Oryzias latipes: one gene and its partner. Each later gene encodes a partner of the first gene's protein in a complex. Links are inferred from orthologs where the notes say so. Each region holds a gene or a part of one and is shown on either strand. Other genes may lie near its edges.

Region 1 (8,862 bases):
CATTAAATATGATCCCCCAATAGAGTTTAAGTACTTAAATAAGGTTTTGTGAGTCATGTGACCGACAGCAACACAATACTTTTGCATTTATAATGGAGAAGCCAGAATTACACCACAAAAGTGGCCTTTTAATCTGAAAGTTCATAATTGTTGCTAAATTTGCTAAAAGATTTTAAGGATTTGTCACAGCTACAACCCTTTATTTTAAGCCATATTGAATTTGTTTTAATAGTTGTGATTGTGACGCCCCTCTTCTATAGGGATAGATGAAAATGTAATCCTTTGGTGATGGCGTGGCTCTATTCTGAGAACGCTTGCATAGGATTGAATTTCTTTTCCACCTTTCATTTGTTTTCTGTAGGTGTACCGGTTCCTGAAGGCATTCCTGGATGGAGTACGGCCATGATAACCCTCTGCAACATCACCAATGCCTCTGATGTGCAGACTGCCAACCGACCACCCAACGTCGCTCATGTAAAAAGCTTCTTCACACACACTTACTGCTGCCCATCTCCATCTATCTCCTCTGTGGTTAATCCTTCTAATGCAGTTGGGAGGACTCTGAGTTCAGTTTTTGGTATTTGCCAAGGGTGTGTTTGTCAATGAACGTTGTCGTGACGATGGATGAGATTATCCACCTTGAAGAGTGACATGATGCCTGAAGAATGGAGTAAAAGTGTATTTTGAAAAACAAGAGGGACGTTCTGAGTTGTGGAAACAGAGGAATAAGCTGATGAGTCGCATAAAGAAGTTATTAGGAGTAGTGGAAACTAGACTGAAGTCAGACATGAACATTTATGATCAACAATATGGCTTCAGGCAAAAGAAGACAACAGATGCGATGGAAGTCTGGAGTGGCAGGAAAGTATCTATCAGAGGAACAGCTCATGATGGATGCTATGGAGGTGGATGCCAGCAAACAGATTGAGATCTGTGGGCATGTTGAGAGGAGGATCAGTAGTTCTGTTGGTAAAAGGTGATAAGACTGGAGTGATATGTGGGAAAAGAAAGAAGGTTCATGGATGTAATGGAGGACATGACGGGGGTTGATGTCGGGGGAGGGTGGATAGAAATGGATGGAGGCTGTTGATTCACTGTGGCGACCACTAAAGGGAGCAGCAGGAAAGTCAAGAAGAATCATTCTGACCACTTTGGTTTAGTAAACAAATGAGTAATTCACGATCAGGATTTAGATTTGGTGTTCTATGGTGATGGGTTTCAGTGACCTGCACTTCATAACCATCATTCAATGACTGCAGCTGAAAAAAACAGTTTTTGAATCCCAGCCTGGCAAAACGTTTGCTCCACAGGGTTTGATCAGGCCTTAAGTTCATGGTTGTCAGTAAAAAGGCCTTTAAAGCTAAGGCTACATGGGGGTGTCGTGGTTAGCTCTCTTGCCTCACAGCAGAACGCCCTGCTTGAAATTCCAGCTGGACTTGGCATACTCTCCTCGTCCACGTGTGGGATTTCTGCGGGGACTCCAGCTCCGTCCCTCTGTCCAAACACATGATCCATAGATAAATTGGTGATTCAAAATTGTCCCCAAGTGTGAATGTGTGGACCTGAAATAGACTGACGACCTGCTCAGCATAAACCCCCCTTCACTCAACAGCAGCTGGGATAGGCTCCAGCAACCCACTGACCCTGAAAGGAATGCATTGGGATCTGAAAATGAATGAATGGATGGATGGGCTTTTAAAACTAGGGATGGGTATTGTTAAGATTCGATCAATACTACTCCTCTTATCAATGTGGCATCAATCCGGTATTCTTATTGATACTTTTCTACGTGAAAAACAGGAGGGAGAAGACAAATAACAAACCATGTACATGAAAACCATTTAACATTGCATGTCGGATACTTTATTGTTACAGATTATACTGTTATAATTTTACACCTTATAGATCATATTATAAGGTATTATTATTATGGTCTGCGTCTGCATCAAAATTGACAGTAAATGCTGTCGTTGTTTGTAAACTTGGCTGAATCTGAACCTGAAGTACTTTTATTTAACACTAAACTTGAGTATTACTAACTTTATAAATGGCATTAACTTCTGACAAAAGTCACACAAAAAAGCATCAGAAAGCAAGTATCATCCTCCTCAGTAGCTCCTGCTCCACTTTGTTCAAAAGCTATTTGTTGTCATGCGTTCCTGACAGCTGATTTTCCATGAGTGGTGGTTAGTCTAAAGATGCTTAAGTTCTGTTTTTCTCAAAGTATTTCTTTGTCTCCCTGCAGATCATCCAAAATCTCGCAGGGAATCAAACGAAAGCTATGGAGCCTCAGACCAATCAGAACCGCCTTCAGACCCCGAGCAATTGCAACCCCGCCGCTTTTAACCACTCCAAGCTGACAGGCCAGTCCGTCACAGCAGAGCAACAGCAGCAGTTGCTTCAGCAGTCACACCAGACTGCCCAGCAACACCACCAGTTACCGCAGCAGCAGCAGCATCCCATAATGCACCTTCAGCAGCATCAGATGATGCAGCTGCAACAGTCACAGGTTGCTCAGCAACAGGGTTTCTCTCAGCAGCAGCAGTTTCTGCACCAACAACAGCAACAGCAGCAGCAGCAACAACAACAACAACAACAACAACAAATGCATCAACAGCAAATGTTTTCCCAGCAGCAGCAGCAGCCCCACGCCTTCCCCCAGCAGCAGCTGCGACCTCAGCAGCTCCTGCGACCAGGTCTGCCACAGCAGCTGCAACATCTGCAGCAGCTCCAGCAGCAGCGCATGCAGATGTTGCTGCAGCAGCAGCAGCAACAGCAACAACAACAACAGAATCCACAGCAGTTGCACCAACAGCATCTACAGCAACAACATTTGCTGCAGCAACAGCAGCACATGCAGCACCTCCAGAAGCAGCATCTGCAGAACCAGAACCAGCAGGTCCTCCAGCTTCCACAGCAGCAGACCACCACTTTGCAGCATCAGCACCCACAGCCTCACCACCCACAGCCTGTTTCCCAGCTGTTTGGACATGAACCAGGGCTAGACAGTGAGTCGTTACAGCATCAATCTGGATTCATTTGTTGGGAAATACTAATACTGAACCAGAACTCCTGCTCTCAGTTCCACAGGATGGCTTTTTGCTTGGATGTGTGTTTGTTATTGCTGATTATCCGGAGCAAATGGCAGACAAACAGTTACTCGCTACATGGAAACGGGTAGGAACTCAACCCCACCATTCAGAAAAAGACTGCAGGCAAACGAGGTTGGTCAATGTTACTTATCCAAACTCCTTTACCAGGTCATCCAGGCTTGTGGAGGTACCGTGGATCCCACCCTCACCAGCCGCTGCACTCATCTTCTATGTGAGAGTCAGGTCAGCAACGTGTACGTACAGGTAAGAACCCACCGCAAAGCTCATTTACCTGTACAATCGGACTCAGTTGTTCAAAATCAAATCTTTTGGTGCACCTGTTGAACTTTGACCCATGAGGGACATGTACGGGTAGCATCCCTTTCAATTCAAACTATTATATGATTGATCATGTAGGAGAGATTAATAATTCAGTTCTTAAAGTCCTTCTCCGATCATCTTTTGATCTAGTTTAAAAGTGTTCCCAGTGGTCTTTTAATTGTACCGTTTTAGACAAAACCCAAAAACTTGTGTTGTTTTTTTTAGGACATAGTTTCTGCAGAGCAGCAGGAGTTCATTAGAAAGTTGCCTCTGACTTGTAGGCGGGACTGTTGGCGCAGAGCAAACCCGTTCCCACTCCTCGTCAGCCACCTGTTTACACTCTCCTGCTGGCTTACAGCCCTCGCACCCCCAACCTATCATTATGTGTGCGACTAAAATGCTGAGCAATATTGGAGCTATCCAGTCGTACACTTTTGATCCAGGTTCCAGCTCAGACAAGGATAATGAAGATCGTGGATCTATTTGTCTGCAAGTGGATGCATCAGAATGGAGCGGAGCAGGAAGCTGATGATCCACCCGTAGTAGCTTCTACGGAACAGCTGCAAGCTTTTCAAACTGCATTTTCTTTTCTCTGCTCCTGATTAACACCAATTTGAATCAAGAAATCCTCAGAAATGCCATTTTGAGCTTTATTTTCTTTAGATGTGTGCTTCATCGAGAGAAATGAAGATTGGACTCTGAAAGACCATTCCAGTGACCGGAGAGTTACCAGAGTCTGTTAGCCTTTCAACCATCTGCTTTATCTCCATCAGGCTCTCAGAGAAGGAAAGCGATGCGTCACGGCTCACTGGCTCAACACAGTGCTGAAGAAGAAGAGAATGGTTCCTCCTCACCGGACTCTGCATTTGCCCTTCGCTTTCCCTCCGGGGGCAAAACCCTGCTCTCAGCATGTAAGTCCACTTTGTACAGCGTTTTGGGGAGAGGGGACACTTGAACTGTGCGTTTTTATAGCATCAAATGTGTTTTACAAATGTATTGAGTTTTTTTTTAATTCAGCGCTTTAACTCTAAATGTATTAGTCTCACCATAGTCCCACTGATTGTTTAAGACAACAATATGGGGGTAATGTCTCATTAAACTACATGAATACTTTCAGGGTTGCAGCAATTTTATTTGGTTTTACCACCAAACGGCTGGTGTGATCCAAGATTTTCATTGGTCGCACCACTGAAAGATTCCATCTAAAATGGGTTTCTCATCGGATGCCTGGCTCATGCGTCACAATAGCCAAACTCTTGGCTCATTAAAAAACAAAGGCCACACTTACCGGTAGTTTTTGCAATAGCGCCTAATCATTTCATACTGGAGCTGTTCTCTAAATAACACAGGCTCCTTGAACTACAGCAACTCTTTAACCGTTGACGCAATTAACGTACTTCTGAAGAAAAGTATCTTTACGTCAGTAAAGTGTTGCATATTGGTGCAAAGCTGCTTCTCTCCACTTCAGAATCTGTTGGAATTGTGTTAATTGCGTAAACGGTTAAAGAGTTACGGAAGTCCAAAGAATGTAAACACTGGAGCTAAAGCTCTGGTGCAAAAGGGCTAAGAAATAGTAAAACTGATAAACGGTTGTCTAGTGTCTCTCTAAGCTGTCATCTACCATTGTTTTGTCCGGACTGACAGGTTTCTGCCCTTTGGGTGTTATTATCAAGAAATCCTCCGCTGAGAATAAACTCAATGAATCCATTTAAATTCTAAGAACTGATCTCTTCAACCTTGGACTGTGCTGTGGCGTTGAAGCTTTTTGTTTGCCGTGACCCCTCTTTCAGATCATATCAGTGACGGGCTTCGTGGATGCCGACAGAGACGACCTGAAGCTGATGGCTTACCTGGCCGGTGCCAGGTTCACAGGATACCTGTGCCGCAGCAACACCGTCCTCATCTGCAAAGAGTAAGGCTGGGAAGATGAATGAGTGCTGTGGAACGCATCAGTGTGATGGATGCTCAGAAGCAAATTCTCTGCTTTAAAACTCAGCAGCACTGCAGACTGCATGCAAAAATCCCAAACCTGGTGCGTTTGTCGAATGTCTACTGAGCTGATTCACTCCGCCTCTGAACTTACAACTTACAGCAGCACAACTTCAATTAGTTGCTGCTTTTGTTACAAGTGGATTGGTAGTTATTGGTAGTTCTCGGCCAGCCTGCAGCCAAGTGAAGGATTGTGGGACTTCACCAAAGGGCGACACACCGTCGAACTTGTCCCCCTTCGGCTGCTTTCAACAACTGTATCACCTGTTTGAAAATGGAATGACTTTAATGGTAGTGGATTAATTTCTCTGCAGACCGAGTGGACTTAAGTATGAAAAGGCTAAAGAGTGGAAGATCGCCTGCGTCAACGCTCAGTGGCTGTGTGATATACTTTTGGGCAACTTTGAGGCGCTGCGGCAGATCCAGCACAGCCGATATTCCTTCTACGGCCACCCGGAACCTCTGGCTCCTAATCCACAGCTGGTCCAAAACCTGTTGGGTATGAGCAGCCGGAACATTTGTTTTCACCCCAAACCAGATAGAAACTGAATGGTTTAAAAATGTGGGCGTCTCCAACACGGTGTTTGTTGATCATCGTGCTGGATTTCCTCTTTTTGCAGCTGCTTGGAGAACTGCAGTCAAAGTTTCACCTGAGGCGCTGGCGGTGAGTTTGGATTATTCCACCGTTCTGAGGGTTTAGTGTTCATCTGAACTGGAGATGCAGGATGTTGGCTTTGTGTAAATATGCTGATATTTTCAGACTAATATCTGCTAATTTGATATATTTATTTTTAATTGTTTATGATATGGCACTAAATAGGTCTGCACAATAAATCTAAAATGTATCGTTATCGCAATATCAAGCTATGCAATACTAATTACAAAAAATGGTGAAATTTAAATATATGGTTACCTTAAATGTGCTAAAACAATCTTATGGCAGCATGAAGTTTTTAGCGAATCAAATAAATCAATTTATGCATTTGACCAATCAGATGGACGCCTTCAAGATGTTGACCAATCAGAAGGAGGCCTATTATGTTAGATGACTGCCTCCTATGTAGATGAGGGTCATTTGGAGTATAATTTAAGTTACATTGACTCTAATTTAAATTAAATTGTTTCAGAGAAATAGAAATGTTTTTGGTTGTTTTGCTATTTGTTCATGGATGGCATGTTATATCGTCATTGCGTTATTGATCACTAATATGGCACAATGCGAGTTTTCCTCATATCGTGCAGCCCTAGCACCAAGTCAGAATTTTAGTCAGGGAAGTGACCAAAACAAAACAAGACTGTACTTTTAAATCAACTTTGAATCTCCCTCAAGGTCCAGAATTCACTTCAGTCCTATCAGTTCATCATGATTTTTGTGTCAGTTTTCTGTTGTTCGCCCATCAGGCTTTAAAATGGCTGATTCTCCTCTGAGTTTCAGTGATTCTACTGTTGTAAAATGATTAAGAGAAGTTCAACCTAACGATTCAACATAATAATTGAGGTTCCTGCTAAAAGCATTCACTCTCTGCCTCCCGCTGAACTGTGAGCAAATGCCGACACTTTGCCTTAATGTACCTGAGCTGTTTCCTGTTGGGCTTTAGTTCCTGGTTCTTTAGGAGGTTCTGCTACACATTTAGGCAGAGTCTGTTTACAGGACTGCCTAAAGAGAGAACTGCAACCTCTGATTTTACGAGACGCTTGCGGCTCATCTCTGTCAGAAAAAGATTTTCAGACTCCAGATGCTTCCTATAGATCAGTGGTCCCCAACCTTTTTAGCGCCACGGACCGGTATGATGTCAGACAATTTTGACATGCATGACATTGTACATCGCACAGGTCTCATCATCCTCTCCCCTTCCCACACTCGTGGTGCAAAAAAGAAGAACTGTCTATTACATGTAGCTTTCTTTTTTTGGAAGTCAAAGGCTCCTCTTCTGTGTCCTGGCTGTGCATTTTCCCCTTGGTAAAGAAACTTTCCAAAGATGTTTGTTTTTGATTCATTTTGCTAGTTCCTGGGTTTTATTTTAGCGGTAACCTGTCATGTGACCGAGAAGAGCGCCTTGCATCAAGAGTGACAAAGACGGATGGCACAGAGAATCTGGCAATTTTTCAAAATAAAACATCTTTCAGATTCCAAAATAAATAAAACGGCAGTAATGTAAGTTGTTTATTCTTTCTGTGCGGCCCGATAACCAGATGACCCACAGACCGGTACCGGTCCGCGGCCCGGGGGTTGGGGACCTCTGCTATAGATGACTGAATACCCCCGTGTTTGACTTATACCATCAGTGTGGAGGCTTAATTCATCAGTGAGTCAAATGTTCCACTCAACCTGTTGCATTCATCTCATTTTGCAGAATCTGCATCTACTGTTAAAGCAGAAGGCATCTGACTCCAGCAGTGCTCCAGCGAGCAAAAAGGCCAGGTCAGTGGACCATGTATCTTCATTAAACTCTAAGCCATGGTTGATGGAGGATTTCTCTGCATCTCTTTGTATCTCTAAGCTTTAAATTCACCAACGTTCATCACAGAAAAATCAAAAAAAGCGGTTAGTAATCCAAGAAAACTATTTTTCTACCTAAATTTTTTACTGTTTGTCAGTCCAATCAATTCATCAATTTAATAATTTAATAATCCTCTGTTATCTCCAACCATAGTTGCCATTCTCACTTTTTTTCTCACTGTTTTTTTTTATGCGACTAAAAGTGTAATTGTCTTCATCGTTGTAGAAATGGGAGACGTCAATTATTCAATGTAGGGCTGGTATCACCAAGAATTTCTAGAATTTATTCAATTCATGATCAATGCGATTGTACAAGGTTTACACATTTAGACATATTTGTAGAGAAATACATTAATAATCTATTTATCTTTTGAAGATATTCTTATTAATCTAATACAGTTCACATACTGTAAAATGTATTAGTGAAATAATAAACCAATGAGATTGTTAACACCAGGGTTTCTTAAAAAGAGAAGCTGCAAAAGAAATGTGCAGGGGCCTCATTTATAAACGTTGCGTACGCACAAAAGAAGGCGTACGCCACTCTCTATGCAATAGTTGAGATTTATAAAAAGCAAACTTGACGGGAAAATGTGCGGTCCTTCACGCAAGCTCTGACCCAGGCGTACGCACAAAAACGGGTGAAATGAGAAACGGCGACACCGTCGGCAGATGGAAGAAACACGTGAAAGTGAGAATGACGATCCTGCCTCTCAGAAATAACATGAAGACTTCACAAAGCAAGTCTTACAATTAACAGCCTACACCAACACCCGTTTGATCGATCAGCAGTGAAACAAACAAAAACAATCAAACGAAAATTACAACAGAAATTCAAATGAACACTTATTTGCAGAAAGAAAATTGAAATATGTTCTACAATATTGGCATGTAGTGCAATTCATCCTCATAAATAATAGTTAACAGAACGAAATAATGTACAAAACTGACATTCCCGTC
Region 2 (7,910 bases), on another chromosome or scaffold:
TCCTGTTGCAGAAACGGCTATTCGGCAGCTGACAGAGTCGGCGTGCAAAGTTGCTCGGAGGACACCGACAAAAAAGAGCACGCTGATCATCTCCGGCGTGTCAAAGGTCAGAGAAATATCCTGTAACGGTTTTAATCCTTTCTCGATACCTGAACCTTCTCATCATATAACTTCATTCAGGGAAACTTCACTTGGCATGCTCAAAGGTGGATTTTCTTTTTGAATACATGAGTAGGGAGCTTTTAACCTCAAGGAACAATGTAGGATACAGTGACATAGATCCAGACAATTATAGTGAGATCTATATTTAGCAGCCCCCACCTCTTTGGTCTTCTTCACATTAGGATGACCTAAATTTATGTGTGAAAATCTGTTAAAACATATTTAAGGCAGGTCAGTGCACCAGAATCCAAATCCACTGGAATCTGCTGTAACAGCATTGATCTTAATCGGTGTTTTAAGCCTGGATTTTCACCGTGTAGCTTCCCTCCTCCCTTCTATTCTCAATAGATTCCCCTCACAGAGGATAACTGTACACTGTCGAGTGACTATGCGGCAGCAATGGACGCAGCCATGCACGGCAACCACTGCAAGGCGGGGCACCATCAGGACCTGGATGAAACCACGCCCTCTGACGTGTCGGAGCGTCCGTCTGTAGAAGACATGGAATCCGACACTGGATCCGCAGGTGGCTTGGAAACCCGGAGCCTCAAAGACCATAAAGGTGAGGTAAACAAATTATTTGCATTTTTGCCAATATAATGATGTTTTCTAAGGAATGATGATGTAGCTTACATAACAGCATGTTCTCACAGGTAACAATGTCTGACTGTGCAAATACTGCCCTCTGGAGGCTGAGCTACAGAATGCAAAACAATAGATGATAGATTATGGATTTTAAAAAGTGATATTTTGATTAAAAAAAGGGTTAAATAAATGGTTGCTTCAACTTTAAAGAACTATAGCTAATCTCACAAAGTACCGTATTCCAAAACATGAACTTTCTGCTTCCTGCAGTGAGTTTTCTCCAGAGTGGCACAAAGTTATGGTTCCGCAAAAGACATCGAGAGAAGGACTCCAGCCTCAGCCAGTCCCACGAGAACATATCCAACATGAGCAACTTTACCCCTACAACTACAGAGATCAGCCGCAAGAAGTCTGGAAGCTTCTCACGGCGTCTCATCAAGCGCTTCTCTTTCCGCTCGTCTGGCAAATCTAAAGGCACGGTTCCAGCTACCAATGGAGGAGCAAGCGCAGTGGACAACTAATCACCCGATTGTAAATCAACTTCTGCACTAATTTATGACAAGCAAAGCACCCCTGGTGGGTATTGTGCTTCTTAAAGGGACTGGGAGCTATGAGAGGAAAAAAAAATATTGCACCTTTAAGACAACTTTACAGAATCTGAAATTGGATAAGAAAATGTGTTCGTCTTTAAGGAAATCCGCTGCTTGGAGAGAAGAAGGTAATTACTACACTGAAATATTTTGTCTTCTATTTAAGCAAAAGCTTTGCTGACACTGGCTGAAGAAAAAACTTTTCATGGAGATGCTGCCAGTTGCACTTTGGAAGGTTTTTCTTTCTTTACAATATCTGTAAAGTTTGTGGTTGTACAAATATCATTTGGGATTCATGTGATACTTATTTTACACCCCCAAAAGGCGTCAATCAAGTTGCATCATGCTGTAAAAATAAGACATTACCATGTTTTTTTTAAAAATAAAACTGTAGTTTAAGGACTGATTTAACTTAACCAAATTTGTCTTGATTTAGCTTTATTGTGCCCTCATATCTGCTTGGCATTATATACGTTTAGAGATGTCACTTCACCGTTATATCTGAGTGATTCATTTTATGTAAAATATCAGAACTTGAGTTTGTTTTCAAAAATGTTGTTTTGCCAGCATTTCTTATATGACTAACAAAAAACAGATTGGCTCTGTGGGTGATGCTTAATGCAAATTATTATGTCTATAAATGTCATTACTGGGTGACCTCATTGTTTCAAAAAATGTCTAAATGAAAAAGAGTTAAGAATGCAGGTTTTTGCATTTGCATTTAACAGTTGCATTACCTTGAGAAACTGTTATAAGTAAGAGAAAACATTGAAAGGTAGCCAGATAGAGAAATTTTTACAAGATGGGTGGTCTGTTCTCAGAGCTACAAATTCAGTTTTGATAAAATGGAAATCTGCTGCACCCTTCCAATGCTATTAGAGGTAACAGAATTCACATTATCTGTTTTATGACTTTTTATCTGAATTTTGATTTTTGCTTTTATCAGTGACTGCAATAAGTAGGGGAGAAGGGCACAAACTTGAAATAAGTGTTAATATTCAGGTTTTTTCTTCTCTTTTGACAGATATATATTCAAAGGTGGAGCTAAGCATCCACAAAACAAATTTACAAGAATGAAACTGCAATATTGAAAGTTTGTGTGACCTATTACTTGTTCAAAAATTGTATTTATTGCAAATAAATTATTTTCTAAACTATTACTTAATATTAGCATCTGTATTCTCTTTTTTGTGCATTATTCAAAGAAGATTCTTACAGCAAAGATACAAAATACATCAGTATACAAACCTCTTTCCTTACACAAAGGTTTCTTGCAGATCCGTATGGTTTCCCTCTCAAACCACTATTTATCCAGGTATACTGGATGGAGAAGATGTCTTTAAAAAGTAAATAGGTATCCCTTGAAAAGGAGATTTGGTCTCAATGGGAATTTTTAATCAACAAAACTCGATCATATAACTCGAACACAGCTTGGTAAATCTAAGCTGGAGTTCCTGAAAAAAATAAGAGGTAAGCGGTTTGTTTAACACAACTGTTTGTAACAGTATGCTAAATACTAAAGTCTTTAATTTAAAGTAACTTTTTAAGTAAATAGTATCCAGTTGTTCCTACATTCTCAAAATGAGTTATTGGAAAAAACACAAACTGCTTAGATAGCTTTTTGCCAAGATATGCAGCTAAAATACAGCGCAACAAACACGTCCCTTTGCTTATTTATTTATGTAAACATCAATAAAGTTCTTAGATTCCATAACACTCACAATCTTTCAAAATTCACACACATATACTGTACATATCAAGGTTATTTCAGTTTATGCCACAAAGTGTATAATCTGGCATGTAGTTGAACACTTAAAAGAAATGATCTTAGGTTTTGGAATTTTCTAGATACCATCAACTCTGCTGCTCAGCTTCAATTATTCACGTGACTTTGGTCAGCGGCTGTGTTAAAACCGCCAAAGGTTTAAACCTGGAGGGAACATTTCCGATTGGTCTGATGTGTCTGCCACATAGCCACTCATAACATGGAGACCAAAGTACTAACCAATCGTTTCCCTTTATCCCACAACCCTTTACGTGATTGGTTCATAGCCTAAACGCTGTAAATCGAAGACGTTGACCAACGTTTCCGGTTTCGTCTCGCTAAACCAATGAAATCGCAGTACTTCCTCTTTGAAAGCCAATCGATGCTTAGGGCGGGACCAAAACGGGGTTTATATCCAGGTCAACGTGGTGCTATTTGGATATCTGTATTGCAGCACTGAAAGACAACGTTTGTGTTTACAAACCGGAGGGAACTTTCTACATCGAATATGTCCGGAAGAGGAAAAACTGGAGCAAAGGCCCGCGCTAAGGCAAAGACCCGCAGCTCACGTGCTGGTCTGCAATTCCCCGTGGGCCGTGTTCACCGTCTACTCCGTAAGGGAAACTACGCCGAGAGAGTAGGTGCCGGAGCCCCGGTTTACCTGGCCGCCGTGCTCGAGTACCTTACCGCTGAGATCCTGGAGTTGGCCGGGAACGCCGCCAGGGACAACAAGAAGACCCGCATCATCCCACGCCATCTTCAGCTGGCCGTTCGCAACGACGAGGAGCTGAACAAGCTGCTTGGCGGCGTGACCATCGCCCAGGGCGGCGTCCTGCCAAACATCCAGGCCGTCCTGCTGCCGAAGAAGACCGGCCAGGCTACACCAAGTTCCGGAAAGGCGGGAAAGAAGTCTTCGCAGTCTCAAGAATATTAGCTTCTAAGCTATCGCCGCTAAAAACCAAAGGCCCTTTTAAGGGCCACTCACTCACTGAAAGAGCACCTTTCCCCTCATGATGTACATATGACCGATGACTGACTTTACTGTATAAACTACCGTAACATGTACTTAGTAAAACGTTACATTCAGGGCTTTTCATTAAACTGAAAATTTGATTGTTCACTCTTGTTTCTTTGTGTTCTTTCCCTACTCAGCAGAAAATTAAACTATATTAAAGGACTTCATAACATTTACATTGCATAAGGTAGTAAACAAACTAAGATGTCGGAACCGGGATAAATTGTGTCCTAAGGTCTGACAAATTCAAATTAACTAAGTTATACTGCAAAATGTAGTTTTGATCTTACAAAACCAGGAGATTTGTCAAAATTGTGATCATAGCATGTCGTAATTAGTAAAACTAAACGAAATGTTCTTCAAAGTCAGGAGGAAACTAATAGATCTGAATCATGATCGACAATTTGTTCCAAACCGGTTTAGTGTTAAAAGTCCAGCAGGAAACTAAACCCTGACTTAGCTTTGGTTGAATTTTAAACTGTTTAAAACCTTATTGAAGATTTCCAATATAGATTTCCATTTAGTTGCATAACAATTGCCAATATCCAGAGTCAGGTATGAAATAATGCATGTAAAAATAACCAAACCATAATGATAAACCAGAATGTTGATCTTCACGACAACTTATTGATCATTTTACACACAGACGCTGTTCTGAACTATGGATATCCTTAATATACAGATTGAACTTAAAAAAGAGTTCAATAACAGGTTTCACCCAGAGACTTTACATTTGTGAATAGGACATTTGGCCAAAAAGAGCTGGAGATTTATTAAGAACAGACCAGAGTCTGCCCACCCATCCATCCATTCATGATACTGACATTGCCACGTTCGAACCATCCATCCATCCGTCCGTTTCATCCCTTACGGTCACGCCCAGCCCATTTAAATTATCTTTAAAATGACATCCTTCCAGAACCAGCTAAAACGAACATCAACAATGAAATCATAAATATTCTGCCAGAACACTTCAACTTGAGGACAGTACCAAAAAAGATCAATGACTGTTTAACAAAAACTACAAAGTTTATGTTGAATTTGAAGCTATTTTGAATGAAAACTTTAGCTGGGCATGAATTCTGTGAACTATCTTATAGGAAACTTATTTTATTGGTAATCCAAAGTGTATAAGGCAGTGTTTTTCAACCAGTGTGCCGCGGCACACTAGTGTGCCGTGGGAGATGGTCAAGTGTGCCGTGGAAAATTGCCCTCATTAACTGATCTAAAAACATTAACCATCTCCAGGAAATCAGCTCTTTGTTCATCCAAACAGGTCCTGATAAAACACTGAGTAGTTAGGAATATAAACGATCATAAAATACTTTTTTCGTTGTGTTTATTTGATTCTATTAAAGACATTTTGATAAGAATGACGGTAACGCGAAATAGCTGCAGCTATAACTGTGTAAGGAAAAGTCCCGCAGCTTTTACTGTCTCCACGACACCACCAATCATTCTTGAAGGCTTAATCACATGTCATCAGTCTGACCAATCAGAAGTGGTTAAAGTCTCCACTTCCTTGTTCCAATTTAGCTCATAACTCAGTCAGTTCCGACAAAAACACCAGCTAAAGCTCGTATTTAGCAGTGTAACTTTCCACAGAATGCGGTATCAGACCGTGGAACAAGTGAACAAAACCATGAAGCTCAGAGACGCGAGTCTTTCTGCCCTTTTCTCGCAGTTTTCACACTACATCTCCCATGATGCATTGGCTTAAAGGGACAGCGTCTTGAAAACACAACGAACATACAGTTTGTATGTAACTTAAATTTTATTACATCTTTTAGAAAAACATCTGCAACTTCCTGCTTTTTCTGCCACAATTATCACAAAAATGCACGTCAGATTGCCGGGGGGGGGGGCGGGGGGGGGGGGGGGGGCTGTAGATCAAAACAGACTATGAGTTTCTGCTTTTTTTTTTTTTTTTTTTTGGGATGCTGGTGTGCCGCGGGATTTTTGTCAAGGTTAAAGTGTGCCGTGGCTCAAAAAAGGTTGAAAAACACTGGTATAAGGGGTTTTGCAAACCTTCCGAGCAACGTCTTCCACAAATGTATTGCATAGTAGTCTTTGCAGCTGCTCAACTACATAATTAAAACTTGTTTATTTTGAATGCACTTCTAATTAAAACTACATCGTTGATAATGAGCGTGGTGAATGCACATGTGGAGTCACTGAGGTGTTGATAACCTGTTTTTTTTGCTGTTTGGTTTAACTGTTGTTATTTGTAACACATGTGACCTAAATGTGTGGTTAAAGCCTGCAAAACACATTCTAACGGTTTTACATGTGTTCACCTGCAGGTGTTTCCCTTCTTGCACACAAAGACAAAAACATCCTTTTTTTGCAGTGTTGATGATAGAGCTGAATGATCACAAGGAAGTTTAAATTATTTTTAATTGAATTAAAGAAATGTTTTCTTTATTTAATAAGCATGGATATTAATGTTTATTCTGTGTCAAGCCTGTCATGTAAAAAAACAAATATATGTAATATTATTAATTCATACTAAATATCTTTTGCATTTGAAAAGGTGAGGAATTCAACTGAACACTGCAGATATGTTAGGATTGTAGTTAGTCATCTTTGCCACTAGAGGGCGACGCTTGAAAATGCTTGATGTGCCTGTGTCAGCCTGTATCTTTAAGTATTTAAAATTCCTCTCTAATTTAAATTTTAGCCTAAAACTTAAATATCTATTTAACAATAAAATTTTTGCAATAAACTGTTTTTTTGTAAAACAGTTTATTGCATGGATCTGCTAAATTAATTTTGGGATTCTGGGAACAGATATGGTTTTTTCATGTCAAATGAAAATAGATGTTGGGGTTTCTTAGTGCACCTCAGAACAGCTGAAATCTCCTTCCTACAGGAGGATCCTGCTGATATTTCTGTCTCTTCTGACCGCTTTATTAGTGGCAACAGCAGCTTAATGCAAAAGGTCTGAACTGAGCTCAGGACAGACTGAACCAATTACCCAGGCACTGACTACGTGTCCAAAACTATTATCCAGACTAAAAATTCCAGCCCTCAAGGAAAACCACAGTCTCTGTTGGTTGTGAACACTATATTTTTCACATTTAGCAGCACAGATGGCTCTAAATTTAGCAAATCTTATTGTTTTGGCTTTGTGATTTTGTCCCTTTGTTCTAAAACTTGTCATGAAAAGGAGAGACTTAAAGTTTCCCTTGAAGTCTCTCCATTCAGTGCACAGTGAATGAATCAAAGTCAGGTGCAATGGTGTTCTAAAAAAGCATTAAGAGCTCTTTAGAAAGTCCAAAGAGCCGCTTTGTTTAATGAAAAACCAAAGCAATGGAGGGACAGAGAATTTACTGACTCCAATGGCAAAAAGTGGAGAGAGAAAGAAGGCTGGACAGAGGGGAGGATCTGGTGGAAAGATGTACAGTTACTGACTAAAACGCTCTCTTTGTGAGCAACCCAACATATGTGAAGAAGGAGCGGCATGTTTTTATTCTAAGTTTGGAAACTCTCATCAGGAAATATTTGGAAAATGCCTCATCTTGTGTTTTTAATCTCTGGGATGATCCTGACAGAGAGGGGAAAGGATTCCTTGTGAACACTGGTAACTAACCAAAATAATTGCTTGCTATTGTCTGTGTAATAGGAGATAAAGGGTCTTTTGTGGCTGCTCACTTGAATAGTTTGTCTGTCAAAACTGACCCAGTTATGATTTCAACTAGCTGTGCCCTGTGTGTCCATCTTTTCTCAATTTCTATAAAAGAACCTTCAATGTAACCTTAGTTTAGACATAGTGACATCCAGTTGGTATTGC

Evidence for each region.
Region 2: the proteins of paxip1 (region 1) and histone H2AX are in contact, whole or in part, in a crystal structure (PDB 3SQD), measured with the Homo sapiens proteins. The link is inferred for Oryzias latipes from reciprocal best matches to the Homo sapiens genes PAXIP1 and H2AX. Residues at the interface, in NP_031375.3 of Homo sapiens: Phe871, Thr872, Gly873, Phe874, Pro876, Lys907, Thr909, Arg910, Thr911, Val912, Lys913, Pro986, Glu1050, Leu1053; in NP_002096.1 of Homo sapiens: Gln138, Ser140, Gln141, Glu142, Tyr143.

Annotation. Positions count from the first base shown.
Region 1 is NC_019875.2:13,215,314-13,224,175, reverse strand, and holds part of paxip1 (PAX-interacting protein 1), read left to right. Parts: intron 1-361; coding exon 362-474; intron 475-2,245; coding exon 2,246-3,008; intron 3,009-3,082; coding exon 3,083-3,177; intron 3,178-3,260; coding exon 3,261-3,356; intron 3,357-4,186; coding exon 4,187-4,324; intron 4,325-5,203; coding exon 5,204-5,325; intron 5,326-5,716; coding exon 5,717-5,901; intron 5,902-6,022; coding exon 6,023-6,066; intron 6,067-7,756; coding exon 7,757-7,824; intron 7,825-8,862.
Region 2 is NC_019872.2:15,231,928-15,239,837, forward strand, and holds histone H2AX, read left to right. Parts: upstream 1-3,511; 5' UTR 3,512-3,610; coding exon 3,611-4,036; 3' UTR 4,037-4,222; downstream 4,223-7,910. Other genes in the region: phospholipid transfer protein C2CD2L, read left to right, coding at 1-106, 511-724, 1,018-1,268. UniProt on the Homo sapiens protein: Variant histone H2A which replaces conventional H2A in a subset of nucleosomes. Nucleosomes wrap and compact DNA into chromatin, limiting DNA accessibility to the cellular machineries which require DNA as a template.